3 linked regions of the Oryzias latipes genome follow. Each later gene encodes a partner of the first gene's protein in a complex. Links are inferred from orthologs where the notes say so. Each region holds a gene or a part of one and is shown in the gene's direction. Other genes may lie near its edges. The genes, in order: seh1l, nup43 and nup37.

Evidence for each region.
Region 2: seh1l (region 1) and nup43 share a complex: the UniProt entries of both Homo sapiens proteins name them as parts of the nup107-160 subcomplex of the nuclear pore complex. The link is inferred for Oryzias latipes from reciprocal best matches to the Homo sapiens genes SEH1L and NUP43.
Region 3: seh1l (region 1) and nup37 share a complex: the UniProt entries of both Homo sapiens proteins name them as parts of the nup107-160 subcomplex of the nuclear pore complex. The link is inferred for Oryzias latipes from reciprocal best matches to the Homo sapiens genes SEH1L and NUP37.

What each region holds. Positions count from the first base shown.
Region 1 is NC_019874.2:7,221,767-7,232,510, forward strand, and holds seh1l (nucleoporin SEH1), read left to right. Parts: upstream 1-3,683; 5' UTR 3,684-3,797; coding exon 3,798-3,908; intron 3,909-4,021; coding exon 4,022-4,072; intron 4,073-4,155; coding exon 4,156-4,302; intron 4,303-4,389; coding exon 4,390-4,601; intron 4,602-4,832; coding exon 4,833-4,931; intron 4,932-4,999; coding exon 5,000-5,140; intron 5,141-5,247; coding exon 5,248-5,402; intron 5,403-7,692; coding exon 7,693-7,837; intron 7,838-9,299; coding exon of another isoform or gene 9,300-9,381; exon of another isoform or gene 9,382-9,738; intron 9,739-9,744; coding exon 9,745-9,928; 3' UTR 9,929-9,993; downstream 9,994-10,744. UniProt on the Homo sapiens protein: Component of the Nup107-160 subcomplex of the nuclear pore complex (NPC). The Nup107-160 subcomplex is required for the assembly of a functional NPC.
Region 2 is NC_019882.2:17,706,360-17,717,368, forward strand, and holds nup43 (nucleoporin Nup43), read left to right. Parts: upstream 1-5,111; 5' UTR 5,112-5,229; coding exon 5,230-5,349; intron 5,350-5,530; coding exon 5,531-5,653; intron 5,654-6,569; coding exon 6,570-6,647; intron 6,648-6,730; coding exon 6,731-6,893; intron 6,894-6,963; coding exon 6,964-7,099; intron 7,100-7,194; coding exon 7,195-7,346; intron 7,347-7,424; coding exon 7,425-7,541; intron 7,542-8,745; coding exon 8,746-8,975; 3' UTR 8,976-9,104; downstream 9,105-11,009. Other genes in the region: pcmt1 (protein-L-isoaspartate(D-aspartate) O-methyltransferase), read right to left, coding at 1,212-1,332, 1,413-1,517, 2,267-2,298, 2,382-2,486, 4,713-4,890; serine/threonine-protein kinase LATS1, read left to right, coding at 10,360-10,713. UniProt on the Homo sapiens protein: Component of the Nup107-160 subcomplex of the nuclear pore complex (NPC). The Nup107-160 subcomplex is required for the assembly of a functional NPC.
Region 3 is NC_019881.2:20,084,302-20,094,516, forward strand, and holds part of nup37 (nucleoporin Nup37), read left to right. Parts: intron 1-2,508; coding exon 2,509-2,581; intron 2,582-2,759; coding exon 2,760-2,854; intron 2,855-10,215. UniProt on the Homo sapiens protein: Component of the Nup107-160 subcomplex of the nuclear pore complex (NPC). The Nup107-160 subcomplex is required for the assembly of a functional NPC.

The sequences.
Region 1 (10,744 bases):
GTATACATATATATCTTGGTCAAGAGTTTATCAACTTCACTTATATTTTGTATTAATGTAAAAATATATTAAACTGACAGTAATTGAATTTATGAAAATCTACTTGGTTCCAATGTACAGAATGTTTGTAACCCCGAACAGATTGAGTGTTGCAGAGGTTGGAGTTGCAGCATTGGGTGTTAACCGAGGTTTTGGACAAAAAAAGACAGACACACAGAAAAAATAAATGACAAAAATAAAAAAAAACAATTATGCAACCCAAAGCTGTGTGTGTGATTTTCTTTCTTTTTGGTGGCTGTGAGTAAAAGCGGGAAACATTACAGCACCTGGTATTCCCAGCTCCCCCTTCACCCACTCTGTCCCACTGATTGGTGCACCTGCTGAGCGGACCATTTTCTTTATAATTTTAATTAAGTGACAGAATGAGTAGTGTTGAAGAAGAACAAGAAAACGTTTTGAAAATGAAAAAAGCATTTCTGCCTTTCTTCAACTTTCTCAATTTCCCGGGGTTGTTAACAAAATCGCCCTTTTGGAAATGCCTGCTGCAAACACGACTCGTCTTGCTTGGGGTGAAGTCCTCCCGCCGTACTCTTACCATCCATTCGGCTCTCACTGACACATCTACTGGAAAGTTATGAAAGCTTATAGTACTGTTGTACTTTGACGAATTCGCACACAGGGGTACACAACAATGTTGTGATGTCTTTGTCACGCGTTGAAACACCAAATGCCTCTCTTTCACCCGAAATCCGCTCATATTTACTGAAAACTAGCAACTCAACAAAACTCCCCACAACAATAACACGACCAACAGGAAGTTGTCGGCCTTACACTCAAAACGCGGTAGTTAACCGGAAGTTCTATCGTGCACGTAGGCTTTTGACTTATTTTTAATTATGCAACTGATGCTTCCATGCTTGGAGCGCTCCCCAGTGGTGATTCCCCTCAGCTTCGCTGGCGTCACTCGAGCGGCGCTGTTTCAAAGGGATGTCATTTCTGTACTATGTTCTAAAACCTACTGGAGACGTTTTGTTCCTGAAAGTCTTCTTCTTTCTCTTTCGGCTTTTCCCATCAGGGGTCGCCACAGCGAATCATCCTTTTCCACCTCACTCTATCATGGACATCTTCTACCCTAACATTAGCCAACTTCATGTCCTCTGTTAAGACATCCAAATATCTCCTCTTTGGTCGTCCTCTTGCCCTCCGGCCAGGCAGCTCCATCTCCAACATCCTTCTACCAATATATCCACTATCCCTCCTCTGAACATGTCCAAACCATCTCAGTCTGGCTTCTCTGACTTTGTCGCTAACACAGGCAACATGAGCCGTCCCTCTGATGTACTCGTTCCTTATCCTGTCTAACCTGGTCACTCCTAAGGAGAACCTCAACATCTTCATCTCTGCTACCTCCATCTCAGCCTCTTGTCTCTGTCTCACTGCTACCGTCTCTAACCCATAGAGCAGAGCTGGTCTCACCACTGTCTTGTACACCTTTCCTTTGAGTCTTGCTGGCACTTTTCTGTCACACAACACTCCTGACACTTTCCTCCAACCGCTCCAACCTGCCTGCACTCGCCTCCTCACCTCTTTTCCACACTCCCCATCACACTGAACTGTTGACCCCAAGTACTTAAACTCCTGCACCTTCTTCACCTCAGTCCCCTGTAACCTAACGCTTCTACCTTGATCCCTCTCGTTCAGACACATGTATTCTGTCTTACTACGACTGACCTTCATACCTCTTCTTTCCAGAGCAAACCTCCACCTCTCTAGCTGTTCCTCCACCTGCTCTCTACTCTCACTGCAAATTACAATGTCATCCGCAAACATCATTGTCCAGGGAGATTCCTGTCTTACCTCGTCTGTCAGCCTGTCCATCAGCATAGCAAACAAAAAAGGACTCAAAGCTGATCCTTGGTGTAGTCCCACCTCCACCTTGAACTCCTCTGTCTGACCTACAGCACATCTCACCACCGTCATACTTCTCTCATACATGTCCTGAACTACTCTGACATACTTCTCTGCCACTCCAGACGACCTCATACAGTACCACAGCTCCTCCCTCGGCACCCTGTCATACGCCTTCTCTAAATCTACGAACACACAATGCAGCTCCTTCTGACCTTCTCTGTACTTTTCCATCAACATTCTCAAAGCAAAAATGGCATCAGTGGTGCTCTTACGGGGCATGAAACCATACTGCTGCTCACAGATCTCCACCTTCTTCCTAAGCCTGGCTTCCACTACTCTTTCCCACAGCTTCATTGTGTGGCTCATCAACTTTATTCCTCTATAGTTGCTGCAGTTCTGCATGTCACCCTTGTTCTTAAAGATCGGGACCAGAACGCTTCTCCTCCATTCCTCAGGCATCTTCTCACTCTCTAGAATCCTATTGAACAACCTTGTTAGAAATTCCACTGCTGTCTCTCCTAGGCACTTCCATACCTCCACAGGTACGTCATCAGGACCAACGGCCTTTCCGCTCTTCATCCTTTTCAGAGCCTTCCTAACCTCATCCTTTCCAATCTCTGCTACTTCCTGCTCCACAACAACCACATCTTCCTCCCTTCTTTCCCTGTCATTTTCCTCGTTCATCAGCTCCTCAAAATACTCCTTCCATCTTTTCTGTACACTCTCTTGGGTTGTTAGCACCTTTCCATCTCTGTCCTTAATCACCCTTATCTGTTGCACGTCCTTCCCATCTCTGTCTCTCTGTCTGGCTAGCCTGTACAAGTCCTTCTCTCCTTCCTTTGTGTCTAACCTGTCATATAGCTCATCGTAAGATTTCTGTTTGGCCTTTGCCACCTCTCTCTTCACTCTACGCTGCGCTTCCTTGTACTCCTGTCTACCTTCCTCAGTCCTTTCTACATCCCACTTCCTTTTAGCCAACCTCTTCCTCTGGACGCATTCCTGTACTTCCTCATTCCACCACCAAGTCTCTTTACCGTCTTTCCTCTTTCCAGATGACACACCTAGCACCTTCCTACCTGTTTCCCTGATAATCTCTGCTGTAGTTTCCCAGTCCTCTGGAAGCTCATCCTGACCACCCAGGACCTGCCTCAACTTCTGCCTAAATTCCTCACAAGTTCCTAAATTCCTTTAAGACGTTTTGTTCCTGAAAGTATTTGGAGGAAAGCCTGGAGTGTGACCCACAAACTTATGATAAGTAATAAAATGAAAGAAGTTTCTCTTAAAATAATTCACAGAATTTACCCCACCAATCAATTCATGATAAGATACATTAAAACAATTGATCCTAATTGTCCTTATTGCAAAGAAACAATTAACCGCTTTTTTGGAATTTTACTGAGATTAGAAGTTTACAATTTATTGAAAAACAAATCCACCCCAACTTTACTCTGAAGTATGAATATATCATATTTGGTTTTCATAATAAAAACTTGGCCTCTAATAAAAAACTCATAATTAATCTTATTATTATTTTTGGCAAATTTTATATTCATAAACGTAAATTTCCTTCATCTTCTATTTTTTCCCCTTGTTAATCAAACAAATTGAAATGTATATCAGTAACATCTCCAAAAGTCTTAATCAGAAAGCTGTATGTTTATATGAAAGTTGTAGAAACCTGAATGTTTTTATGTAAAATGCATGTAATATGAATGCTCCCCTGGCATACCTGAAGTTTATTTTGTAAAATTGTGTTTTGTATTGTACTTCCGTTTTGTACAATAAAGTTAAACAAAAAAAGCAGGTCTCAAAGCTGGATGATTTCTGCGGTAGGCCTGCTAACGCGCTGGTGAAGCTATCGCTGGCGGCGCGCTGCTACCGGGATCATGTTTGTGGCTCGTAGTATCGCGGCGGATCACAAAGATCTAATTCACGATGTGTCGTACGACTTTCACGGCCGGAGAATGGCGACTTGCTCCAGTGACCAGAGTGTGAAGGTAAGCTAACGTTAGCCTCTGAGCTCGCGCCCGCGGTCCTCGACTGTGATGAACCGTTCCCGGGCTGCCGCGCGGCCATGTGTCACATTCAGAGCTCTGTTTGTTTTTCTGAGGTTTGGGACAAAAGCGAGAGTGGAGAGTGGCTCTGCACAGCCAGCTGGAAGGTAAAACGCCTCCATCCTCACGCCGAACTCCACCTTCTGTGCTGAACAGATGTGAGCCTCCTCCTCCTGGTTTCTCTCTGCAGACACACAGCGGCTCAGTGTGGAGAGTGACCTGGGCTCATCCAGAGTTCGGGCAGGTTTTGGCCTCCTGCTCCTTTGACCGAACCGCTGCGGTTTGGGAGGAGATTGTAGGAGAATCCAACGACAAGCAGAGAGGCTTGAGCCACTGGGTCAGTGCTGGGTTGGGAGCGGGCAGTTGCAGCGACAACCTGCAGCAGGTGGAGGTCATGTGAGTGTTTCTTGCTTCTCCATTCCAGATTAAGAGGACCACACTTGTGGACAGTAGGACATCAGTGACCGATGTGAAGTTTGCTCCTAAACACATGGGTCTGATGCTGACCACCTGCTCTGCGGACGGCGTGGTGAGGATCTACGAAGCTCCGGATGTGATGAACCTGAGCCAGTGGTCGCTGCAACACGAGATCTCATGCAAGCTCAGCTGCAGCTGCATTTCATGGAACCCCTCCAGGTTATATAGCTTTTTCATATTCTGGATGAGCTGACCAGACCATAAGTTTGATGGAGGTTCAGTTCTGCTCCATGTGTCTGTGAAGCTGGGCACAGAGTGTCATTCTAAGTTTCCACATGGCATTACACACAAACGAAGAGCACGTCTGCGCCACTGCCTGATGACAGGTCGGAGTGAAGGCAGGAGCGGCGGATTTCTGCTGAATCATCTCATCTCATCATTCTCTCCCAGCTCACGGGCTCACCCTTCCATGTTTGCCGTGGGCAGTGATGACAGCAACATCGCGAGCGGTGGGAAGGTTCAGATCTATGAGTACAACGAAAACACACGGTGAGCGTGTTCAGCACACAGCGGCCAGAGATGCAGCGGCCTCCTGACACTTCCTGTTTCTTCTAAAGGAAATACGGCAAAGTGGAGACTCTGATGACTGTCACCGACGCAGTCCACGACATCGCGTTCGCTCCCAACCTGGGGAGATCTTTCCATGTTCTCGCTATTGCAACAAAAGATGTCAGAATATTCAAGCTTGCCCCCATGAGGTGATTGTCATCATCATGTGTTCTGGTGCATTTCTCGAAGCACACAGCTTTTGAAATAAAAGGAGGAAGAAAATGAACAGAAAATGTGTCTTGGTTCTCTGGAACAGGAAGGAGAGCTCATCCACCGGACCCAGCAAGTTTGAGGTGCAGATTGTTGCGCAGTTCGACAATCACAACTCCCAGGTGTGGCGTGTGAGCTGGAACATCACAAGCACCCTGCTGGCTTCCTCTGGGGACGATGGCTGCGTGCGGTTATGGAAGGGTAAGAAGCTGGTCCACCTTCAGCAGGAACACAGACGGCTGCCGTCTGTCGGCAATCGTCTGCAGTGCAGCGACCGTTTTCTTATTTTCCTGAGATGGGTACATGATTAATAGAAACATGGCCTCCTCTGGAGGTTCAGTGTTGGACCTCTAATGCTGCGCTCACAAATTTGCGTTGGCCGCTTCAACTGGAACAAATGTCGGATTCGCTGCTGGCTACCTGTCCAAAAATAGGTTCATAATTGTGACGCATGTGGGAGGAGCTAATGTTTATTTGCCTCATGCGTCTTCTACATGAAAGCATTGACTGTATTTGTCGTTTACAATACATGGACGACACAGAAGTTGAGAGATCAAGTCAGTTTATTTTGAAGAGCTCTACTCTCGCTACCTGATGTGTCAACGCATGTGCGCAAAATACATAAAAGCATTTTACGGTCAGAGTATGTCTTTAAATATTAAATGATGATAAGCTCTTAAATGTTTCACAAAATGTACTGCATGTTAACATTTATTTTAATGTTAATGGGGGTAAAACATGGTAGGAAAAAGAAATGTACAGTAAACCCTTGTTTTTCGCGGGGGTTACGTTCCAAAAAGAACCCGTGATAGGCAAAATCTGTGAAGTAGAAACCTTTAATTTTTTTACAATTATTATATAATTAAATAGTCTATTATACATTGAAAAGAAATAACAAACCATTTTACAGGCTCAAGCATTTGTTTCACAAATAAAAGTACTTTAGAAACGTTTTTTTTTCAACAAATAACTTCTGTACTGTACTGTCAAATAATAATTTTAATCATCGATGTGAACAGAAGGCTTCAAATTGCGGAGATTAGCCCCACCCCCATGACCCAAGTAATTGGATTAAACGGGAGAAAATTTTAAAATGATTATGAATAAAATACAAAGTACAGTCGGACAAATAGTGACTCAGGTGTATTTCACTGCTCTGCAGACTGAGCCGCTGCATCCTGACTCCGCTCTGCAGTGTTTTCTTCTTTTGAAGCCCGCGGTGCAGCTGTGTTTGTTTGGGGGAAAGAACATAGTGATAGGAAGATGTTGTTTCTCTTTTTTCTATGGGTTTTAGAGAAACTCGAAATTGCAAGAGAATTTGCACGTACATAATGTAAATTTGGCAAGCTGTTTTATGTACGTGTACATATTAAACTGCAACGTCATTGACGCACAGTTAGAGAAGAAGCAGAGTGACTTTTTAGCCAATCAGAATGCAGAACACAATGAACCATGCAAATCTGTGAAGTAGCGAAACCGTGAAAAGTAAACCGTGTTATAGCGAGGGATCACTGTAACGGATCAGTACTGCCCACGCTGAAGTAAACATGGATTTCACCGCTCCTCGACTCGACTTGAATTGTTTGGGGTTGGGAAGTGTATGTACAGCTTCTCAACGCAGCCAGTAGATTGGCAGCTCAGTCGTTACCACCGCATACAGAGTGAAGCTCCAGTTAGGTCACTACACAATATTGTTCAAACCCCTACTTCCCTCCCCGTCTTCTTCTACGCCTCACAGCTACGCATTAGGCGCACCGCCTCATAGTGCGCCCCTATAGTTTGGAGAAAATGTGAGACTTTTAAGTCCACTTTATGGTCGTGAAAGTACGGTAAAAAAAATGTCGTCCTGGACAGCATTTTGAATCGATACAAATATCGCCAAATGAAATATCGCGACGTATCGCTAAATAAATTTTCCGTCAACCCCTAGTAATCACATCTCCATGTCTGGGTTTATCGGATCATTCAGAGACTCCTCCAGTACGTAGAGCTTCACCGTCTACTGCAGGAGCTGCGTCTGAATGCCTGCTGCTTTCAGCGGTTCTTCCACCTCTCTGTGACCCAGTTTGACCACTTGCTGTCCAGCATTAATCAAACTAGAGGACATTTCTGTTATTGTCTTAAAAGTAAAAAGAAAAATATAAAGTTCAGGAGGAGACCGATGAGATTCTCCTCCATGTTGGTTTTAGGCTCCACTTGCTGACATTAACACGTCATGTGCCAAAGCTGAGCCCCTGATTGGTTGACATGGCGTGAATTCTTCGCTTTAGATTTTTGATGCCTCATCACACCCAAATTTATGCTGCCGCCAGATCGATGTAACATTCCAGATGCTCATGTGGCACTGTAGGACCTCAGATCAGGACTGTATATTGGCATTGAACTGGATGCCCTTCATGTGTGAATCGTGTTTGAGGTGAATGCAGCTTTTGGTGTATTGAAGGTGTCCGCAGTTCTTCCCTAAGCTGTCCTCTGCATGAATGCTCTGCAGCAAACTACATGGACAACTGGAAGTGCACCGGCATCCTAAGGGGAGACGGCAGCCCGCTGAGCGCGTCTTCAGGTCAGCCCATCAGCACCATGGTGGGCTCTTCCCTCCTCTCCCAGAATGCTCTGAATGGGATATCAGCAGGAAGGTAGGTGGCGTGGTGCATCTGCGGCCACACCCCCTCGTTAAAGCCTGACTGCTTCGTGTGGGCTCACACTGACCCGGAGCTGCCACTGAAACAACTGAACCTGCCATTTGGACTCACACCGACCGCGCCTCCTGTAAAGAGCTTGGCTGTCGACATCTTTCTGTGCTGGGAGGGTTTTTTTTTGTTTTTTGTTTATTGCTGTATGGCATAAGAGGGCCAATGTTCCCTCTGTTGTATGAAAGGACTAACGGGTGTTCAGCTGTAAAAATCGAAATAAAACTCCTGTCAGTTTGCAATGTGCTCCACTTTTTTCAGGGGAATGTTGTTTCTTGTGAAGACCAAGCAAACACCACAAAAATCAATTTAACCCTTGTGCTATCTTGTGGGGTCCAGATGACCCCACAAGAGTGGGGTCATCTGGACCCCACAAGATAGCGCAAGGGTGTGATGATTGTGCTTTTCATATGTAATTTTTTAATGATTTGTGCGTCAATTAAAAAACGTGATATAAAAATACATCACTGCTAATGCTTGAAAAGTCCATTATGTGGACACAAATTCGCGAACGCATTTCGCAAAAATCTTGCACGATTGCAGAAACTGCATAACTCTGAACTGTCTGAAAATTTTGAACAGCTTAAAACCAAATTCACGTAAAGGCCCGTCAGCCGACACCCTCGACGGACATCTGCGCACATTGATGAACAACAAACGCAAGAAACATGAGTTCGGATTATCACGCATGTATCATGAAAGACCGAAAGGTCATACATGGAAAACATGCAAAATGTACGTAGCGGCTGTGAGACGCGGCGTTGAGTCTCAGCATCCTGGTGCAGCTGTAGCCAAACTCCTTGCTGAGGGGAGAAGCTTGAATGAACCTTAATAACCCGTAACACTGAAATGTGAGGATAAATACAGCCACCTCCACCGTGGAAACTAAGCTCTCGTTATGGAACATGTTGAGCCCAACACCAAGGGAGTTCCTGATCAACAAATCTCAAACCACCTTCATTTCCGTCTCTTGTGAAAAGTCCCGGGGAAGTTGGGATTGAGGGCTCGTCCTGCCATCCACAGCTCTGCTGGCAGCAGCTGCTCATGCTCCTCAGCAGAATGCTCACAAATAAAAGCGTGGCAGATGCACAAAGGATTAATGGGGGGTCTGGGGTTTTTCAGATTGGATGCGTGGCTGTATTTGTGCTCGGGTAAATAATCCTGGGCTAACGGCCGGACGTCCTGCCTGGCCTTTAACCAGAATAACAGCTGTGGGTGCTGCGCCCTCTCTGTCACAGACTCACCTTGTGTCCAGTGATGTGTGTGTGTGTGTGTGTGTGTGTGTGGTGTGTGTGGGTGTGTGTGTGTGTGTGTGTGTGTGTGTGTGGTGTGTGTGGGTGTGTGTGTGTGTGTGTGTGAGCAGAGCGTCTTGAAGGTAATTTGCTGTTGTGTTGCTTGTTGCATGCAGGATTGGCAGGAGAGCTCCGTTTGCTCCTCCCCTGCGGCCGCTGACCTCCTCAAAGATAGACCAGACTCCTGCATATTACTAATGATCTGGTGAATAGCTGTTTGCCCACAGAAGGAATGTCTGGGGTTCACTGACATTACTTTTAGTGCACAACAACCACATGCATGAACAGTAGCTAGGTTTGATTCCCTGATTGACAGGTTGTCTGATGCTTCACACTGGTTTTATTAGGGTGGTTTTTTAAAGAATAAAAGTCTCGTTCCGGCCCACCTGACATTACTTCCTGTTTAGTTTCTGTTGCAGACATACTTCATTTCTCAGTTTAATTTTTTATTCTACTTCCTGTTTCATGTCCTCCCTTGTGCACTCCTCATTTTGTTCTTCCCTGTCTGTATTTTTCGACTCTGTTTCCCTTCCTCTGCCTGTCCGTCCGTTCTTGCTTCAGGTATTTCTTTCCACCTTTGGATGCTCCCAGAGCGGGCAGCAGGTTTGGTCACCTGCTGCCACCTTCCTCCCTCATAGAGCACTGCGATGCTGAGCTGGTTCCTCAGCCTCAGCAGCAGCAGAGTCTTCCTCACAGACACTCCTCCAGAGCACTGCTGTCCTTAGCAGAGGCAGAAGAGCTGTGATTGTTCTTAGAATAGGAAGAATGGCTGTCATGAACTTGGAATAAAGAACTTTGCAGACGTGTTGACCTCTGAGCTTCAGTTTCTGACTGTGGAAGCGTTTGTCCACGTGAGAAAGCGGCTTTTTTTCTGGATGATCCTCCTGGTCCACTCCACCTGCATGAGGCTTTGTCACCAATGCTTCATAGGGAATTTCCTCCTTTGATGAAGGGCTGTTGTCAGGCAGAAAACTGCTTCAGGCTTCAGTCAACTCAAATGGTTTTTGGATTTTCCCTACCAGCTTCTCAATGACATACAGTGGTGGACAACATTGTTGGTACCCCTCAGTTAAAGAAAGAAAGTCCACAATGCTCACTGAAATGACTTGAAACGTTCAAAAGTAACAAATTAAAATTTATTGAAAATTAAAGACATTAAAGTTGAACTCCTAGATCAAGGTACATCATTGTCAGATCGCACCATTCATGGTTGTTTGAGCCAGAGTGGACTTCATGGGAGACGACCAAGGAGGACACCACTGTTTAAAGGAAATCATGAAAGAGCCAGACTGGAATTTGTAAAAATGCATTTTGACAAGCCACAAAGCTTCTGGGAAAATGTCCTTTGGACAGATGAGACAAAACTGGAGCTTTTTGGTGAGGCACATCAGCTCTATGTTGGTAGACTCAAAAATGAAGCATCCAACCAAAAGAACACTGTCCCTACTGTGAAACATGGAGGAGGCTCAGTTCTGTTCTGGGGCTGCTTTGCTGCATCTGGCACAGGGTGTCTTGAAGTTGTACAAGGTCAAATGAAATCTCAAGATTATCAAGGCATTCT
Region 2 (11,009 bases), on another chromosome or scaffold:
AAAACACAAACACTCATCTGAGCTTCTGTTTCCAACAACATATGTTTGTGAAACACATTTTTCTGCAGATGGTGAAGCAACCAGACTCTGAGCTGGAACACTTGGAGTCCCTGTGAGCTCGGTTAGGACGGACGGCTCGAGCTGAGGAACCTCTGCATCCTTTCTGCGCTTTCGGAGCAGAACAACAGGACCAAATCAGCCACCGTAGCAGAGCGTTATGAGAAAGAGTACAGAAGAAACGGAGTAGAAAGGTAGCAGCCATGACGATGAGACACAGCAACTCACTGAAATGTGCTCGGATGAATGACGGCTCATTAAAACAACTTTTAGCGAGACACACATCGCTTCTCACAGTTTTCCCAAAAATCTCTATGTCGTAAACACATCAGCATATTTTCTTGACTGTTGCCTCAGTAACCGCCTTGCAGCATGACTCAGCTGAACTAAAGCAGCAGTAGAGTGTTGTGGCTGACGCTGATACAGACGTTCAAAATTGACCAGCGAAATAGAGTTTGAATCAGTGAACATGGATTGCAAAGCATAGGACTTCCATTGTTCTCTCTCTTTTTGCTTTGCCCCGCCCTCATAACGCCTGGCCAATGATGAGATCTTTTGTCAATGTCCAAATACAGATAAAATGCAAAGTCCAGGACTAGATCTGGACCAAATTAAGCTGATTTTGTCTGTTCCAACTGACTTTTCCAGTCTGTCTTCTCTTTAAAAAAGTGCTTATGTTTCCATTTAAGGATCCACTTTAACAGAAATCAAAAAGTTAATTTCCAGCTTTGATTGTTTTCTACTCAGATTATAAAAGGAGAATAACAGGAGAATCCTCCCGTAGCTGCAGATGAGTTCATTCAGAACAGTATTACAGCTGTTGATTATTAGCATACATCGATCAGTCATTTGAAAACAGAGTCTCTCCATATAAATGTTGTTTTTTAAATAATAGAAAAGGGTTTTGAAATATAATAAAATAATTTTAAAAACAGGATATATTTTATGAAATCCAGTGACTTCCAGCCTTTCAGTAAGGGATCACATTCAGAGTCTGCAGAGCGTTTAACCTGCATCTGTGTTGAACTGATGAGCGGCAGAAAGCGGCGCTCCCTGCTGAATGATTTAGGTTTTGCAGCAGCTAGCTGCTTCTTACCACAAAGGTGGGGAAAGACGACCAAAAAGTACAAACATTTTTAGAGATGAAACCTTACCAACCAGCTTGATTCGTCCGGACGTTATTAAACTGGAGTCGTCTTTCTTCACGTTGTTTATGGAGTCATCTACCAGCTCTTTGATGTGGTCAATTCCTATGACCTTCCCTTTGGGTCCTACCTGAAAGGCAGAGACGTTTGTGTCCGACCCTGCAGTGATCAGATGGCGTGTTTCCTGAAAGTTTCTGGTTTGAGGCTCACCATTCGGGCGAAGCAGACCGACAGGATGCCGCTGCCGGAGCCGACGTCCAGGGCCTTGGCTCCCTCGTACAGCTGGTCGTGAAGGAGTTCCAGTGCGTAGGCATGCTGGGCGGAGTCAAAGCAACAAGAATGATCACATCTGGCCATTGCGACCAACAAAGGGCGGTCAAGCCCAGAGATTAACCAGGGCTGGGTTTCAAAAATAAACTGTTTGATTCAAACTGAGCTTTATTTAAAGAGATGCAACTTCGATTTTCTGCACTTTAAGGTGCATCCTCAATGAATGGTTTAGATTCAAACTTATTTCATAGGCGCATTAAGCGAGACAAAAGAGTCAAAAAACTAGTCAGGCAGACTTCGACGGTGTAGGTACCAAAACTGTTTGGCCTGCAATAAGTGTTCAGTGGCAGTTTTGGTACCTACCTTGTTTGCAACACATAGAAAACACAACGGATATCACTAAAACAAACGTTCTGTGACGTCACAACCTTGTTAGTAACACCTAAAAAAACAGTCTAAACATTAGCTGCTTGAGCGTAGTTACAACAACACCCAACCAAACATTTTGACAGAGCACCGTCTACTTCTAAAAATCGCTTCAACATCAGTAAACCCAACCAGAATTAATCATATATGAGATGCTCCAGATTATAAGATGCACTGTAGATTTAAAAAAAAAAAGTAGGCTTTTAAGTGTGCTTTAAAATACTGTATGTAAAACCAGTTTTGTATTTAAGAAATTTGAAAGAAAATGTGAAAGAATTGAATTGAAATATTGTATATATAGACATAATTGAGTCCAGATGAGTTCAGGTTTTCTCAAAGAGTCCTCTGGAAGGTGGAGACCTTCATACCATGTGTGGGGCGCTGATGGTGGCCTGAAAACCTGTTGGTTAGAAGCAAACATGGGCTCGTTGATCACTCAGAAAACAGGCCAGAGTGCACAAACTATGGCGTCCATGCACCTACCTATGGACTGAGGCGAGTCCATGTAGGGGTTACACCTGGAGAAGTGTGCTCGGTCTGTGGCCAGCATGGCTTCGTACACCCTGTCGGATTTGATGATGCCATTTTCTGAGGATGCAGAAGAGTTTTTGTCAAAAGTGAGGCAGAAGAGAACCACACAGTCCTGCAGACGAATATGCAACAAGAAAGACACACGAATGAACGCATTGAGTTAAATCAGACAAACATGGAGTGGTTGGTATCCAAATAAACCTTATTCCTTATGCTACCTACACACCAGGCATGTGATGTGACCTGAAGAACGCGCTAAACGGGCCTTCTTGAACGCCCTATTGCCACATGTGTTCACACTGGACTGTCGCTACCCGATATTAGTGCATGTACTCACAGCTGAAAGAGGCTTGGTGTGAAATGTTAACACAGGGCACAGTAAGAAAGCGGCATAGCAAAAACAATATTGGCTTTGCAGACCATGGACTGCAGCGGGACAGAATTATGGACATAAAATTTAGATGTTGTAATGTTAACACTCAAAAGAACAGTCACACTTATCTAAACAGGTTGCATTTACACTGTAGTTTGTGGATTAAAGGGCCTATTTCATGCTTTTCCAATACTTTCACAATGAACTATATCCATGTATATGATAATATATTACCTTTGGCACACTAAAGAATGATCTTTTTATGAAATACGAGTTATTTTCACACTTCATTTTCCAACCCGGAAATAAGACGACTTGGTCTCTGAGGCTCCGCCTTTCTCTCTGTGTGGGTGTCGCCCATTGCATGACCTCAACATAGAGCCGGCCTTGGCAGCGTGTCTGAGTCTCCCAGGAAAACAAACAACATCCAAACCTTTACAGGGATGGATGTGCATACTGTGCAGAGTAAAGGAACGTGTTTTGACCAATCACCACTGGCACCACGCAGAAAGTGTGTGTGTGTATTCCTGAATAAACACACAAACACAAACACAAACACACACACACACACACACACACACCCCCCCACACACACACACACAGAGTATTCCTCTGAAAACCTAAGACGTTTTTAGAGGAATACTCAGAAATGTAAGAACAGATCAAAATACTGCTTTGAGGTTGTTTACAGTGAAGAATGAACATTATAATACACTTAAAAGCTAAAAAAAAGTTGATTTTTCATGACCCTTTAAGGAAGATACATGAGCTCGATTTCTTATGTTTGGAATACAATCAAAAGCTTTATTGTCACCAAGCAGAAAAAATGAACAATGAAGACTTAAATATTAAGAATGCACATGTAAAATATTAGCAAAATAAGATGATAAAACTCTTGAGCATTATTATATACAGTCCACATGATCACTTTTTTAACTGTACCTATTTGCATAAAGCCAATATAACCACAAAAGGTCCTTAACAAAAGCCTGCAGGGTTGAAAGGTTCAGCCAGAGGTGGCAGACTGATCAGCATGCCTTCTGCATGTGGTCTGCTTCAATCCAAATGAAGTGTGCTAGTCGGAAGCAAACATGTCTGGACTGAGATAAGCAGATATAGAGACTGATGCCCTCCTAAACACGCAGCTATGGGCAAAAAAGCGAGCAATGATACCCCTGACAGCACAGAGAGTATAAATAGAGCTGGCAAATACTTGACAGTGAATGTTGACGCACACTCAAGTCTGCAAATATCGTATTAAATTCACATATTAGCATTAAATAAGTTGATGTACTGGCTTAAAGGCTTATTATGAACAAAAAGGCTAAGTGTCAAAATGACATTACCATTTATTCCGAGTTGGACTTGGCACTAAGTCGCTCTTTCGATGTTGCTAGCTGCTATCGTGACACAGCAAATGTGAATTTCTGTCTCGTGCAACAGAAGGGTGGTTTCCAGAGTCGAGCTTTACGGTTTAAACTGTTCTCGTCAGTGAAATGACAGCGCAGTGGCCAGTGCAGACAGACATCAATGGATGTGGGCAGGGCACACAGCTAGCGCCGCTGCTAACGCTAGCTACATGCTCCTACATGACGCACATACATAGCTAGCTGGCCGGGCTAACATCACAATACACCCTAAATATTTAATGCAAATATTATGTAATTTGGGTGTTTAGTGCTTTTATTTTGATCTAAAATGACAGAAGCGCGCGCGTGTCCCACGGCGTAACGTGGTTTGGCAAAAAAAAAAAAAGGGGGTGGAGAAACTAGGGGCAACAGTGGTTAACAGTTTAAGCAACCAGCTAGCTACCGCACCTGCGCTAACAAGCACGCGCCCGAAAACAGTTTTCCAGCGTCGCGCGGGTGAATTGCTTGCCGATGCCACCTTAAAAACGCTACAAGACTCACTGCGAAGGTTGGTGACAAGTTCTGCGTGACTGGCTCCTCCAGATTTCCAGGCCATTATTAAGCAGACTTTGCGGAGTAAGTAGACAGCAGCTGTCAGTGCCGCGCCTGCGCCAACAGTTTTCCCGATGAAGCTCGCAACCTCGAGCGGAGACGGCGGAGCGGATACGTCACCAGACATCCAAATGATTTTATTACCGGGCCGCCTTTCACATACACTCCCTTTTAACAAAACACGTACAGTTTAATAAAATACAAACCCAATTAGATACGTACTGAGCCCAGTGTCAGTTTAAAGAGGGAATTCCTCTGTCTCTGCTTTATTGGAATTGTTGGGTAATAAAGAAGTCGGCCGCTAGGGGGAAACAGATTATCTATTAATTTAAAGAAGAATAGCACACTGTGATCTGGTCTTCTCGGGCCACCGTAGTTACGTATGAAGCAGCAGGCGCGTAGTTTCTCGTGTAGTCCGTAAACTGAAAACAACACTTCAAATTTTAACAAAAAGGCTTCAATTTCCATGGAGAGCATAAATGCCAAATATGTGTCTCAGAAAATCAGTAAGACGAGATGGTGTCCGGTTTCCTATTCTTCACTGCAACAACCAGAAGTCTTTGCTACGGGCTCGTGGGACAACGAGGTTAGCTAGTAGTACTACTACTAGCGCAAAACCACACAAATTATTAAGATCGCTTGCTAATTAACTCAATTTTTTTTATTAATTTAAATTATTTAAATACACTTTAAAAAATTGTTTTGATTCATTTGTCGTCGTGATTTAAATGTTCACTGAGTTTAATGTGAAACCCGTTGATTTATAGGACAACAAGGTGTCTATCTGGTCCATTGGAAATCACAACAATTCTGGATTAGAAGACGGATTTGAAGGAGACCCACAAATTTTATGTGAGCACAAACATGGCGGAGATGTTCTGGACCTGCAAGTAAGAAACCCAAAAGCTTCTAATGACGGAATCATCGGTGTTGATGTTTGATCTGTGGAGCCATTTCTTTATTTAGGCCTATAAACAAACTAAATGAAAAATAGAAATGAGCACAAAACCAAAACGAAATTTTAAATGTTCCCTTTTCTGTCATTAAAATTATTCAGCATGTCAAATAAGTGTCAGCAGTTATAAAGTCATAAAGATCCTTCAGAAGCTCACACCCAAATGTTTGATCAATTTGTGTAACTATTTGATTACATTTTTGTTCAATTCTTCTGGATTTTCCCACTTTATTATGTTGGATGGTTCACTCAGATATGTGTGTTTTTAACATGTTTTTGTAGCATTTTTCTCATCATGGAGGACAAAAGGATTTAAGCTTAGCACTGCATTTACGAGGACTTTTTTATTTAAATTGTAATGGATAAGGACCCGGTTTGCGATGCAGCAACTGCCATTGGCGGGCCAAAGTCTCCCTGTTCCGCACGCAGACAAATAGATCCACATCCGTCTTTGTTTTCCTTTGTCTGAGCTGGAATCTAAATCTAAACTGTACGGCAGGTTGTTTTTTTTTCTTGTGCTACGCTAATGTTAGATTGGGGTTGTGAGCGGCTGTTAGGTAGCAGGAAAGCGTGTAAACAAAGGAATGCTGGGAAATCATGGTAGGGTCACTTTCACGCTAACAGTCCCATCCACAACCCAGAAACAAATTTCTAATGAGCTTCTGTTGCTCTGCAGAAATTATGTCTTAAGGAACAACACAGGGTTTTTGATTTTTGCTAAAAACTGCATAATCATAATAAAAAAAACACTGGGAATGTTTTTACAATAGGTTTTAATTTTAAATGATTTTAAATGTGTACATTGTTTGGATAAAGTAATTTTTCTTGTTTTTCTTTGTTTCATGTTTTAGTTCTTGGACCAGGAACGGATGGTCTCAGCGTCATCAACGGGAGCAGTCACTATTTTCCGCTATCATCCAAACACTCATGTACGTTGTTTCTTTTCGGTTTTCTTGAGGAGAAAACAAAATGTCATGTTTAAAAACGGGTTTCCTTTTTGTTTCCTGAACAGACCATTTCAGTTCTGCAGCACTGGGCGAGGGCGCATAGCTACCCTTGTGACAACGCGCCCTGCACCGCCTTGGTCTGCAGCAGCCCGGAGATTGTCACTGTCGGGGAGGACGGCAGGATCGTGGTCTTCAGAGCCGACCAGGAAGGAGCGGTCCGGGTCATCGGTGAGATGAGGACTCGGATGTTACCGCCTCATCAGGAGTCGAGTCTAAAACTGTCCGTTGTGTTTGTTAGAGAATGCAGACAGCAGCACAATTCACGCGGTGACTTACCTGAAGACCACGGAGGTTTTGACGGTGAACTCCATTGGCCAGCTGAAGCTGTGGGACCTCAGGCAGCAAAGCAGCTCCCCATCGCAGATTCTGTCCCTGTAAGAGCTCTGAAATTTGATGTATTTATTATTTTTTTATGTATCTTTATCCTTTCAGAAACACACCTTTACTTGTTTGTCTTTTTTTCCACCAGGTCAGGAGACAGAGCTCCTCTGCACTGCGTTGACAGACATCCCAACCAGCAGCACATCGTAGCCACCGGGGGCCAGGACGGCATGCTCTGTGTGTGGGACGTGAGACAGGGGGGCACGCCCATCTCACTCATGGAGGCACACTCGGCTGAAAGTCAGATCCTTTCTTTATTTCACTTTAAACATATCTCTGGTTCTGTTTCACTAACTTTCCTTTGGATTTCCTCGTCAGTGTGGGAGGTTCGCTTCCACCCCACAAACCCGGATCACCTGTTCACGTGTTCGGAGGACGGCTCGCTGCTGCACTGGGAAACTGCCTCGCATTCCGAGATGCCCTCATTCTTACAAGGCAAGTCGTCATCAGTGAAGAGGCACTCCGATGAAAATTTTGTTTTTTGGTGTTTCCAACATGTTCTTTTCTTTTTTCTGATGATGGAGGCAGTTTGAAAAAAAAAACCCAGCTCGCTGCTCAGAGTTCTTAGCAGCATAATCATAATAAAAAGACCACAGGGAAGGCTTTTACAATGGATCCAAAGATGATTGGAATTGGAACTTTAAAAAGAGAAAGCCATGGATCAGATTTGAAGCTTTTATCTTTATGCATTCTTCTTTCTTTATGTCACTTAAAACACACAGGGTCAAATCAGGATCATCTCAAATTGACTGGAAAACCAGATTTTAAAATTGAAACTCTGAAATACAGCTGTCACTGTTTCGCAAAGGTGGTTTGGCAGAGTTTTAAACCAGATACCCTTCCTGTACTTATTCAGGCTAGTGTTATATGGGGGCGGGGCTTTGAGCCCATTGGTTACCATGACATGATTGATGTTGTGTGATAGAGGTCATGACAATGTCATTTCCACTTCAAAGGAGGGATGACTCGAGGTTACATTGTGTACTTTTGAATGTAATTTTTTTCTGGAAATGTTTTTCATTCACTTTAAGCTTGAACATATAGACTCTTCAGTCTGACTCCTTTTTTTTTTTTTTAATGCGTCCTCTCCATTCATTTCTGTGCAGAGCTCCGAATATTTTGACAACAATTTCTGATTTCGCTCCCTGGTGTCTTTGACTTTCCAAGTAGAGATTTAGCTAATTTTTATTTCCTCCTTCCTCCTCAGCGTTGTAGCTCTCTGAGAATTATTTAGACATTTCTCTCTCTGGTTGTTGACTCTGAGGACACAGTCATGACTTTGCACATTCCTCTGCTTTGTGTTCATCAAACATCCCTTCACTTCAAACTAAAACGATCTTGTTGACAGCTCAGAAGTTCTCTAAAGTCTAATTACAGCTTATCAGTCCTGATTTGTACAACAGAGATTTGTGTGTTTTGGCTAAAAACAAAGTCAGTCTTTTGAAAGGGTTAATATGAGACAAGATTTGTTATGAAATTTTAAAGAAGTTTAGAGTTTAAAGCCAATGACGCTGAAACAAATACAGGGACAATAATCTCAATCCTAGAGTGTAAACTCTGCATTTTTGATAGAATTTGGGGTAATTCTGAGAATATTTGCAGTTGGGGGTGAACGTTGGATTGTTTGAACTGTTGACAGGTGGCAGGAACAGCAGCGTGATCTCCCACGGCGCGCTGACCCCCGCTGGCGGGAACCGCCCCCTCAGCAGCGCCTGGCTCTGCGGAGATTCTGGCAAAGGCTGCCTGGAGACGACGCACATGCTGCCCAGCCAGACCATGTCCGTCAACAGCCTGGACATCATCGGACAGTGTCTCGTCTGCGGCACCGACGGAGAGGCCATTTTTGTCAACAGACATGTCCCAGTTTAAAAAATAAGTGTCTTTTGTGAGGAAAGAGATGTTACTGTCCTCATGTTGTGTTCTGACTGTGTTTTGTACAGATTTGATTTAAAAGGTTATTAAATTACAAATAAACGCTCAAATAAGTCTAAAAAGTTGTTTTATTGTCAGTCTTGTTTTTTTATTTTCCAATATTTACGATTATTTGATAGATTTGTATTTACACTGTGTAAAAAAAAAAAAAAAACAAACAAGTCAGCTGCTAAGAACACAGGGAAAAATGGTCTTGATTTCAAATTAAATGTGTTAAACATCTTAAAGTAATACTTCCTCACAGAAATTCTATTTTTTTTTTTTACTTGACTGTTGTTTAATCATCTTTTGAGGACTAATACTCACAGATGAAGACAAACATATGAAATTATACTGCCTACCTTAAGGAAAATTCATAGTATTATGAAGCACTAGTCATTTTAAACAATTTGAAACGATTTTTTTTAAAGATCTTTTTCTTGTAATCGTTTTATTTCTGGTTTGCTTTTTATAAATTTTTAAGCAATGGGTTGTTTTTGATCTCATTCCCTGTTTGTTTCTTGACCCTTGATAGTTTTATTTTGAAAGCGGCGGCCACCGGAAGTGCAGCGCTGCACTCTGACGGCAGCGTTTACTTGTCATTCAGACATCCCGGGAATCCAACGCGACAAGGAACCAGTCACCGCGGCTCAGACATTTATCCATTTAACCTGCGTCCAGCGGAATTAACCCAAAAACACATCGAGCCGTTCAAACAGGGAGACAAGCGGCCGCTTCACGCGCTGGTAGGTTCCGGTTCTCTCTGCTGGTCTCTGAGCAGCCGCTAACCCTCAGCTGCTGTTGAATTTTAGCAAACACAGCAGGCCGTAAAGAAATGTTTGTCTTTGTCTGACGAATACAGCTTATTGTTTTAATCACAAACGACACCTACTATGTTTATAGTAAGGTAAAAAGATTTTTATTTTTAAGATATGTTTACATATTTAATGTTAATTGACGTAGAATTAGCGTCAAAGTAGCGTTTGTTAGCTAACAGAGCTAACAAGCTAGCATGTTTTGGTGTTACAAAGAAGACAGTTAACTTTTAAGTATAAACATGTAAAATACATTAAATGTCACCCGGAAGTAGGGATATAAACGTATTAAATCTAAGCTTAGCTCCTGTTTGTGACGGAAACATGGCCCTGTTTTTCAGTGCCCCTTTGAATTGAATTGAATTGAATTGAATTGGCTTAACCTGTTTGGTAGCATAACATGTATTCTTTGTCGTTCTCACGCTGCTGAAAACACATCCAGCTGAAGCATGCTGCTGTGAGGACCGACCAGAGCCTGCACTGCTGTTACCCTCTTCATCCTCCATCGTCATCGTATATGATCCTACATGAGGAGAGCGGAGAAGCCCGAGGGCTACAGACAGATGAGACCTAAGACCTTCCCCGTCAGCAACTACAATGGCAACAGCCAGCAGATGCTGCAGGAAATACGCAACAGCCTGCGGAACCTGACCAAGCCCTCGGATCAGCCGAAAGGGGACACCGGGGGACCTGGAAAGATGGCCCCTGAAGATCCACGGCAGCAGGGGCGCAGCGGGAACCTCAAAAACCAATACCAGAAGGCTTTACAGGAGATCCGCAAGTCCCTTGTTCCGTATAAAGTGAACGGTTCTGGGGACGAGGAGTCCACCACGTCAGGTGCTGATGGAAACAAGTCCCAGGACCAATCTGGGTTTGAGGAGGTATGAGGAATGCGTTTAGTCTTCTTAGATAATTGGATTCCATTCTGTACATACTTGTGCGGCTGAGGACGGTCACATGGTGCACTTTGTTTAGAGAGGAGTTATGTAGGAAATGCCAGGTATTTGACAAGCTGGTACAGTTAATACCATGGAAGCTGCATAGTTAACGATTTGCGGGCGTTGGTGTGGAGGAGGAGGAGGAGGAGGTCTGTCATCTTCATCTGTGCGTTCTGAAAGCCTAATGATGACGTGTTGATGATTAACACTCCAAAAATTCACAACATTTGAATTTTTTT
Region 3 (10,215 bases), on another chromosome or scaffold:
CTATTCTGAAGTGGCCTTATATGAGCCCAGATCTGAATCCCATTGAACATCTGTGGAAGGAGCTGAAACATGCCATTTGGAGAAAACACCCGTCAAACCTAAGACAACTGGAGCAGTTTGCTCATGAGGAGTGGGCCAAAATACCTGTCGACAGATGCAGAAGGCTCATTGACAAATACAGAAACCGTTTAATTGCAGTGATTGCCTCAAAAGGTTGTGCAACAAAATATTAAGTTATGGGTACCATCATTTTAGTCCAGCCCTATTTCATTATTTTGTTGTTTAAATAATTCTGTTAATTTCAGTGGGACAAGTGGATTGAATGGGTGAACAGTCATGAATCCTCAAGCCCTTTATTTAAGGTGTTGAGCTGATGGAGTGTTCCACAACCATAGTCCTCCTGAATCAGAGGTTCAGCTGTTGGTAGAATTCTCCAGTGCTCAAGAATAGACTTTCCAATGAAGAACGAGTAATGGGATCCCCTTGTGGTGGAGCACACCCTCCAGTCGCTCCTCTTAAAAAGTGACCCCCTGCTGATTTGCAAGTTTTCACAAGGATTTGTCACACAACATGCACCACAACGTCCAGATACTTGAGGTACTCAGGATGGACCTCATCCACTCATGGTGCCTTCCCACTGAAAAGCTTTTTGACTGAAGCTTCTTCATTGAAAGGCATGTCGGGGAGATTCAAGAGATCGTCATAGTGTTACTTCCACCTCTTGACAATGTCTTTAGTCAAATTCAACGGCTCACCACCTGCATTGTAAACAGTACTGGCATAGAACTGCCTTCTTTTCCTCCTGAGGCACCAAATAGTTTGCCAGAATTTCTTTAAGGTCGACTGATTGTCCTTTTCTATGGCCTCCCTGAACTGCTCCCAGACCAAAGTTGTTGCCTCAACTACCTGCATTGCATGCCACATGAACTGCCCGTCAGTTGCCTTGAGGTCCTACAAGGCGGCCAGACTTGATGGGCCACTCTTCTGCTTGGCAGCATCCATTACTTCCAGCAACCACCAAAAGGTTAGTGGGTTGTATGAACTTTACAGCCACAGATTTGAACTTCTGGGTTGACAATGAAGGTGGTTGACATGCTCTCCCTTTGGTGGGAGTTGAAGACCCAACAGACATTTCCAGCAGACTCGCATTATCCTTTTCCGCCTACAAAGTCTGTCAATTTCAAGATATTGTTTGTTAAAAGTGTTCAAAAGCGAAGAGCAATGTATTTTGGTAAATAATACATAACACAGAGAAACATTTACATCAAAAGCAACTTCAGCAACTTCACACCTGAACACCATCATTGAGGTCCACAAAATTACAATGCTTAACCAAGAAAAAGCAATCGGTAGTCCCACACAGTCCAGCATCCATCCGTCCATTTTCTTCTGCTCTTCTGGGATGGGGTCGCGGGGTCAACTAGGCAAAGAAGATGTCTGTCTCTCTCTGTCTCAAAATCAATCCACTCAACAACAGAACAGGTAAAAGTTTTCAGGTTCAACCTCCGACCTCAGCTTTGCTTCTCGTCCTTCAAATAGCTTTTGCACAATTAAAACACAAAATAAACAAAATGAAATTTATTCACACTAAGCTTTATTTCTGCTGTAAAATAATCTATCAAACATTCCCCCTTTCCGTGCTTACGTTATGTTTTGTTTTGAAGGTAACACCTTATAAAAACAAAACCTTAAATCAGTGTCAAATTTGAAGACCTGAGCTAAAATACACCAAGAGAATCATGAAAATCAAGCAAAGTCTGCCTTCCTGTGTGAAAGAGAAGCCCTCTTTTTCAGTGTCACTTAACTCCTGGGATAATATTTGTGTTTTAGATTTTGCAGTTAAAGCGATGGTCTCACAAAGTTCCCATTCTCCGATACTGTTGAGAAAAAGCCCATCAGAGTGATGCTAAAAGGGCGCTGAATCGACATTTCAAAGACATTTGTCTTGGAAGTAGGTTTTGTGAAGAGGGCTGCATGCGATCCGTGCTCCACAGCAAACACTTGTTTTTCGGGTTGGAGGTTCTTTCCAGAAGAAATCTCCCCTCCTGAGGCGGTAAAACCCTGAAGTGTGTTTAGAGTGTTTGTAATGACATCATGCCAAATCCATGTGCGCCTGCGACGGAAAATGTGCGAACCGCTTTCTGTTTATTCTGGTCATATGTATGTGTTTTTCTTGTCATAAGTGAGGTAGTGTAATTGTGTGAATGATTGCAGGCGCTGGTCTACGCGCGGGCTGATTAGAGGGAAAGTCATCTGCCTGGCTCCGCGCAGGTTTTTATGCGAATGTGCATAAATGGCGTGAGCAATCTCGTCATTCTTCGTGTTTATCTTTGCTTGCAATTAGAATCTCCCTGGCAGAGTTTCTACTGATCAGGCTCCAGGTTCCTGCCACACACATTCCTCCAGAGGTGTCAGCCCCGGCCTGCCTGTAGAACGTTGAAAAAGCACACCTTTTGCTTTCCCTCCTTATTTATTGTTAAAACCCAACTTTGTTTTCCTCATCTGCAGATTGTGCACGGCGGCAGCTGACAGAAAACTGCGCCTGCTGACTTCTGATCTCCAGGATAGGCATGAAGTCGAGGTAATGCAACATCTGGAGCACATTGGCCAGAACTTTTCATTTGGCATCAAACTTTCTCCCTGCACTGACGTTTGATACTGGGGAGGTTACAGGAGGTGCTCCACATTTCACTGGTGGTGCGTTCTCTGTTTTCCATTAAAGTGTCTTTTTCTTTTCTTTTTTCCATATCGTTGCCGAGGTGATGGAGGGCCACACCAGCTACATTAACCATTTGGTGTTTGAGCCTACAGAGGGGAAACGAATCGCTTCCGTCAGTGACGACCACACTTGCAGGTCCAGATTCTGTGTGTGTGTGCTCCTGATTTTCAGTTCTGTTCTCTGTTAATGGTGCAGAAAGTCCTGACAGCGTTTCCACGGTGAAACTTGATGCTAAGCACAACATGCTCCGATGTGACCGTGCGTAAGCATAGAGCTGCTTTGTAGCTTTTCTACCTAATTGGTTAAATATGGAAATCCAATTAGCTGCAGAAATATTTTCCTCTCTTAGGGGGGGGCCTTTAACAAGGTTCCCAAATTTTCCTTTTCAATTAAGGCGCACAGAGGGAAAAAGTGTGTTAGTTGCCAGGGTCAGTGCAGGGACAGCCCCTGTGTACTGTACAAGAGATCTGTAGCCGTTAAAGACCCACTCCGATGAAAAATATGTTTTTATACAACCCTGTAGCATTTTTCTCGTTATGGAAGCCATAGTTGAAGAAAATTAAGCGTAGAAATTGCATCTTTATTCAAGCTGTTGTGATTTAGGAGCAGATTAAAAAAATGCAGTTTGTAAAAGGTCGTAGGCGTTATGTACGTATGGAAAGGAATGGAAACAAGTTTATTACGAATATAAAAAATACATACATTAAAAAAAAAAGTAGAAATAAAGAAAACGTTCACATTAACGTAAAAGCTACAATTGGCAAGCCACAAGCTTCCCGCTCCGCTCCATTCTGATTTATCCACTTGCCGACAAATACATCCATGTACGTCTTTGTTTTCCTCATCCGAGCTGGAATCTGGGTCAAAGCTACTGGATTACCTTTCATTTCTGTTGCACCAGTAATGTTAGCTTGGGGTTGTGAGCTAGTGGGAAAGAATGTTCACTAGATTGGCTAATGTAGACCACATTGCGTTTGAACAAATTTTGTGAAAAATTGCATTTAAATGCATTTTTTTAACCATCAAAGTTTTCATCATCGGAACGCAGTGGATTCATAAATAGTCTTCATAAAATGGTCATATTTTGATTAGATTTTCACTTCTTGAAATTGGTGATGTCATATTTGCCGTTTAAAGGAATAGGGAGGGAATTTGGACATAGCCTGTGTCCCAGAAAACTACAGTTTTTAATTTCTTTTAGTTCTTGTTTCCAAAATAGTAATGTTTGTATTTTGCAAACTTTTATAGAATCAATTATTGTTTCGTTACCAAAAGATGGTGGTGCACTCATCTAATGATTGTGAGATTTTCCCACACCTGTGGACCTTTTTCTTGACCGTTATTCACAGATGAGTTTAAATTTAGAGACATTTCTACCAGAATGTCTTCGAAAGCCATAAAACTATCAGCTTTGAGGCCAGACTCCTTTTCAAAACCTGCATTTGATCCATTCAGGACCTGCCAGTGCATTTGAATCACCGTCCTGCCAGAAAAAGCCAAAAGCTCTTGAGCTTGAAGTGAATGACATTTTCCTGCCAGAAAGGAGAATTTATGGTTTTATGAATTACTGAAAGTCATCCATTCCATGTCAGTATGACCCCAAGATATAATGAGATACACACCTTCTAGAAAGTTCTTCCTTGGTTTCTTCAGTCCACAGAATATTTGGGAAAATTCCACATTTTTGTCAAATATGAGATGAGTCCTTTGTTCAGTCTTTCTCCTCAAATTTTCATGCGAATCATATTTTTTGTCCAAAGTCAGGACCTCAGACTTGAACTGAATCAGGTGAAGCCTACCTTTTTTTCCTTCCTTAGCTCCTTAGCTTGTTTTATGACCTCCTGGATGAGCCTTCGTTGTTTTTAGTTTGAGATCTTTTTGGCTGATTGGTCACATTTCTGGATAATGGGTGATCTTCTAAAGTCCTGAAGTCTTAAAAAAAACTTCTGCATATTGATGCGTAAATTCCCATCTCTGTTAAATTTTCTTAGACGTCAGCATTATGTTTTTTATTTTTTGTGAGCTTGCATCATTTCTCAATGAGCTGTAGTTGAAGGCACCAGAAGCTGCTGAGATGTTATGCTACGTTCACGCCAGGTATGTTTAAAAAAACGTGATTATAGCATGTATAGTGTTCACACTGGACTGTCGATACTAGCACATCTATCTACACTTAGAAACGGCTTGGTGTGAAATGTGGAATAGTTACTAATCTTGAAAATTTTGCTCCAGGTTTTTTTCTTTCACAGCGCTATTCCGATAAATCCAAGACTTTTTACAGTCAGAAAGCCCAAAACTGTACAAGCATTTACATAGACTTTTCATTGAAAGTGTTCGCTTAAACGTGCGTTGTGGAGGCCGATGTTAACATAGCTTTAAAAGAACAACCACCTGTAAAGGAAAACAGGTGCTCCAGGTGGGGTTTGTGGTTAAACTGAAGACTGAAGAAGTTACTTTTCTGGCGCTCATGACCGCCTCCTTTCCTGGCTTGTTCTGCTTAGTAAGACCCACTTTGATCATGTTGTGGGGTTTTTTGTTGCGACACTGCGCCCCCTGCTGGTTCATCACTGGTGATCAAAAATCCCACACCGTCACAGCTCTAGAAGTGATCTATTGTGAAACGCTCCTTGTGGTCTTTTAATAATGATTATGCAGTTTTTAGCCTCAATCTAAAAGCCTGTGTCTTTTTCTAGGACATAGTTTCTGCAGTGGCGAAAGTTAATTCCACTAGCTCTGCTAGAATGGAGCGTAGCAGGGAGCTTTTGGCCCGCCCAGCATAATTTCTTCTATCATCTTTTTTTAAATGGGATTTTTTTCATCTTCTGCTGATTCACAACAATTCGAATAAAAAAATACTCTGAAATGCATTCCTGAGCTTGATTTTCTTCCTCTAACATAAGGAAAATGCGACAAGAACAAGTTAGAAACATCAAAAACTAAATTTTCATCAGAGTGGGTCTTTAAAAGCTTTTTTGTGAAAACTGTAGCTGACCGAAACGACCAGTGGAGGAAAATCCGAAGCTAACATTTTGTTTAAGTAAAAAGAAATGCTAAAAACTAGCGTGAATTTTTCTAAACTATACTTTTGCGCTAGAGTTTACTTTTCAAAAGTGTGATTTTTCAAAGAATCTTTGCGAAAGTGAGGCATGGGGAGCCCTTTGGTGTCCTGGTTACCTCTTTTGGATGTTAGTTCGACTCCGGCTGGAGACGTCCAGAGACGTGCTTCACACTTAAATTGGTTCCTATATGAATTCTCCTTGAAGTGTAAATTTCATCAGGGTGTAGCGGCCTTTATCGTGAAGTAGCTGGGATAGGCCCCAGCAACCTCCACAGGAATGGCAGATGGATAGAATTATGCAAGTGGTGTCCAATTCCAGACCTTGAGGGCCGGTGTCCTACATGTTTTCCAACCAACCTGCCATTGCAGCTTCTTATTGGTTAAAGACACCTGATCCAGCAGATAAGGCAAGTTTTCTGGAAAACCAGCAGTAGGACGGCCTTCGAAGCCTGGATTTAGGCCTTTTTTATTAAAATAAAAGGTCAGTTCACTAAGTCACCACTAGGGGCTTTTTCTACAAGTCTGTCTCCATTCGATCCAATGTTTTTAACTTCACGACTGAAACAAACGACCTGATGCAAAGTCGAACAAGTCTCTCCTCTCCCCAGTCCCCAGCCAGAGAAAACAGGAGAGGGCTCCATCTGCTGAAAGATTTAAATTCTGTCATGTTGAGAAAATATGGGACACGGGGGGAAGACGGAGGGATGGATCAAGTTAACGGGGAGAGGACCATCCAGTCAGCCCACACAAGCTGAGCCTGTATAGGAGACACAGGAAGTGGTCCTGCAGAAAGGGAGGGAGCCCTATGTCCGCTGGTGTAGGCTCATGACCTCGCCGTCACTCTGTTGCCTTTGGCAGGGGCCTCCTTCTCCACCGGTTTACTTAGTTTGGTCATTTCTGTCCCCTGCAGTTGTGGGACCTCTGCTGCTGCCAACACGCAACCTGACGCTGCAGAACTGAGGCGAGGAAGCAGACTCCACTTCCTCGGCTTCTTGTAGTCTAAACAGCTCTACGGGTTTCTATGGTTTGAGCAGTTTGGAGCTGGTGGGGAGAAAATGTGCTGCCAATAGATCAAGGGGGTCCACTGCAGGGATCTGAGAGTATTTGGAGCTATCTGTGTTTTTTCTTACACTCAGGGTAGCAGACAACTTCAATTCCACTGGTGAAAATAGATAAAATATATTTGGAGTGGGACTTTAAATTGCTTCTCTGCGCTAAAATTTACGTTAAAATTGATGATGTCATCAATAGTCGCCGGTCATCTATGCTAGGGATTGCTATCAGTGCTCGGAAAATACATAACATTGGTTTTATCTCACCCCACTGGCAGAGGGATACCCAGCACTAAGTCGTTACGTGGGCGGCAGTGTCACTGTGCATCGTTCAACCATCACTTTGCACAAGGAGATGCTGTATGGGAGAGTAATGCGGAAGAAGCCTTTTCTGCGTGCATACCACAAACGGAGACGCTAAATGTTGGTGGCGGTTCCATCATGCTTTGGGGCTATGTGACCAGTGCAGGTACTGGAAATCTTGTCAAAGTTGAAGGTGGCATGGATTTCAGTCAGTATCAGCAGATTCTTCAATTCAATTTTACTTGTATAGCCCAAATTCACAACAACAGCCATCTCAATTGGCTTAGTATTTTCTTTTCGTATATTCTTACAAACAATGTTCAAGAATCGGTGACAAAGTTGAAGTTGCGCTGGGGCTGGATACTTCAACAAGACAATGACCCTAAACATTGCTCTGATTCTACAAAGGCATTCATGCAGAGGAACAAGTACAATGTTCTGGAACGGCCATCTCAGTCCCCAGACCTGAATATTGAAAATCTTTGGTGAGATTTAAAGCGGGCTGTCCATGCCTGGAAGCCATCAAATCTGACTGAACTGGAGATGTTTTGCAAAGAGGTATGGTCCAAAATACCTTCAACTAGAATCCAGGCCCTTATTGGAAGCGATTGGAGGCTGTCATTTCTGCAAAAGGAGGATCTACTAAGTATTGATGGAATGTTTCTGTTGGGCTGCCCAAATTTACGCACCTGCCTATTTTTGTTTAAGTAATTATGGCACAGTTTCTTTAAATCCAATTAAACTTCATTTCACTTCTCAAATATCTGTGTTCATCAGCTCTATGATATATTTAACTGAAATTGATGATCCAAACAACCAATGATTTATGAAGAAACATTTAGAAAATTATCAGGGGTGCCCAAACTTTCTCATACCACTGTAAGCGAAGTAATTTGGGATTTATTTGTTGGGCGCTATTATAATCTAGTGGTTCTAGATCAGTGTTTTTCAACCTTTTTTTTTTTTAACCTAGACAAAAATCCCGCGGCACACCAGCATCCCAAAAAAAAAAAAAAAAGCAGAAACTCATAGTCTGTTTTGATCTACAGCGCCCCCCCCCCCGGCAATCTGACGTGCATTTTTGTGATAATTGTGGCAGAAAAAGCAGGAAGTTGCAGATGTTTTTTTTCTAAAAGATGTAATAAAAGTTAAGTTACATACAAACTGTATGTTCGTTGTGGTTTCAATCCGTGTAACAAGGACGACTCATTGTACGCTGAGGCGTTGTCCCTTTGAGCCAATGCATCATGGGAGATGTAGTGTGAACACGGCGAGAAAACGGCAGAAAGACTTGCGTCTCTGAGCTTCATGGTTTTGTTCACTTGTTCCACGGTCTGATACCGGATTCTGTGGAAAGCTACACCGCTAATGACGAGCTTTAGCTGGTGTTTTTGTGGGAAATGAGTGAGTTATGAGCTAAATTGGAACAAGGAATTGAAGACTTTTAACACTTCTGATTGGTCAGACTGATGACATGTGATTAAGCCTTCAAGAATGATTGGCAGAGACAGTTAAAGGGGCGGGACTTTTCAGAAAACGGTTATAGCTGCAGGTAAATCGCGGTGCCGTCATTCTTATCAAAATGTCTTTAATAGAATCAATTAAACACAAAGAAAAAAGTATTTTATGATCTTTTATATTCCTAACCACTCAGTGTTTTATCAGGACCTGTTTGGATGAACAAAAAGCTGATTTGCTTGAGATGGTTAATGTTTTTAGATCAGTTAATGAGGGCAATTTTCCACGGCACACTTGACCATCTTCCACGGCACACTAGTGTGCCGCGGCACACTGGTTGAAAAACACTGTTCTAGATGATTTCTTTCAACTCAAGAATAATATGATGCTTTATTTTTGTCAACAAAACAATTGGTTTCTCTCTATCAGATACCAGAAACGGATAAAAGCTGTAAAAGTGAAGTAGATTTATGAGTTAGCTGTAGAAACAAATGTTTAAAAACCAACACAAATGTACATTTGAAGGCAAAAAATGTTACTCAGATTTAGAGCAAAGTGCATTTTTAATGTACTATTTTGAAGCTAAGCAAAATCCTCATCAATCCTGATGGTTGTTCACCAACCGTTCTGACCGTCCAAGGCACTGGGAGGGGTTTAATATGCTTTTCCTCTTCCAGCTTTCTCCCCCCTGAGATCCACCTTGGATTATTTACTCAGTTCTCTACAAAAGAGATCAAATCACGCAGCTCTAACGGCGGTTTTCTTTTTCCTCCTCTTATGGGAAAGCCTGAGAAAAGCTCTGCTCTTGCTGTTTTTCCCAATTTGATAACACAATACAGAATTTCAGATGTCCTTTTCAACTCTGTTGTACCTGGAAGCAGAGGGTTGCTGCTCCATAATCCCTGCACTCATGGCGTTTCTGTCTTCTTTTCTTTTCTTTTCTTTTTTTACCTCCTCCTGCAGAGGTTGTGCTGTTTTTGGGGAGCCAGTGCTCTCCTCTTCAGGACAAAGTGGTTGACCACAGTTTGGCCGTTGGTGGTGTAGCTTGCAACTGAGCTTTGCTTGGATAGTGGTCTGAAAGAAAAGGGTCCAGTCCTTGTTTTCCCGATGTGGTCTGAGGCTTTACTTCCCAGCCTCACTTGTGTCTGAGGCCTCACTCTGGCAGCAGAAAGGAACCCAGAGTTTAGGTTTGTGCCGTCAGGAGAAACCTGGCGTTTGCTGGATGTGTTCAAGAGCTGGGAGCACCACGAATTTGATCAAATTCGCTCAAATTTGGGGTTTTCGTTAAAAAAATAAAATATCAATTTTTAAATTTCCGTTTGATATAGCACGTGAGATACTGATAGATATTTTTTTGAGCGCCCATTTACAGCACACAACAAAACTACATCATATGCACTCGTACGGGGGATTGACCCGGATGGACGCTGCAGGTTTCCGGGTTGTCCGGGTATGTTGAGGGTGATATAAGACTCGTTTCCACTGAGTGGTGTGGTACAGTTTAAATTGATCCAGGCCAGGTGAGCGTTTCCTCTTAAAGTTGGACCTTCATGGCGCATCTGGGGTGTAGAACGATGGCGTAGCATTGCATGACAGTTGTGCAGCAACAATGGAGGTCATCCAGC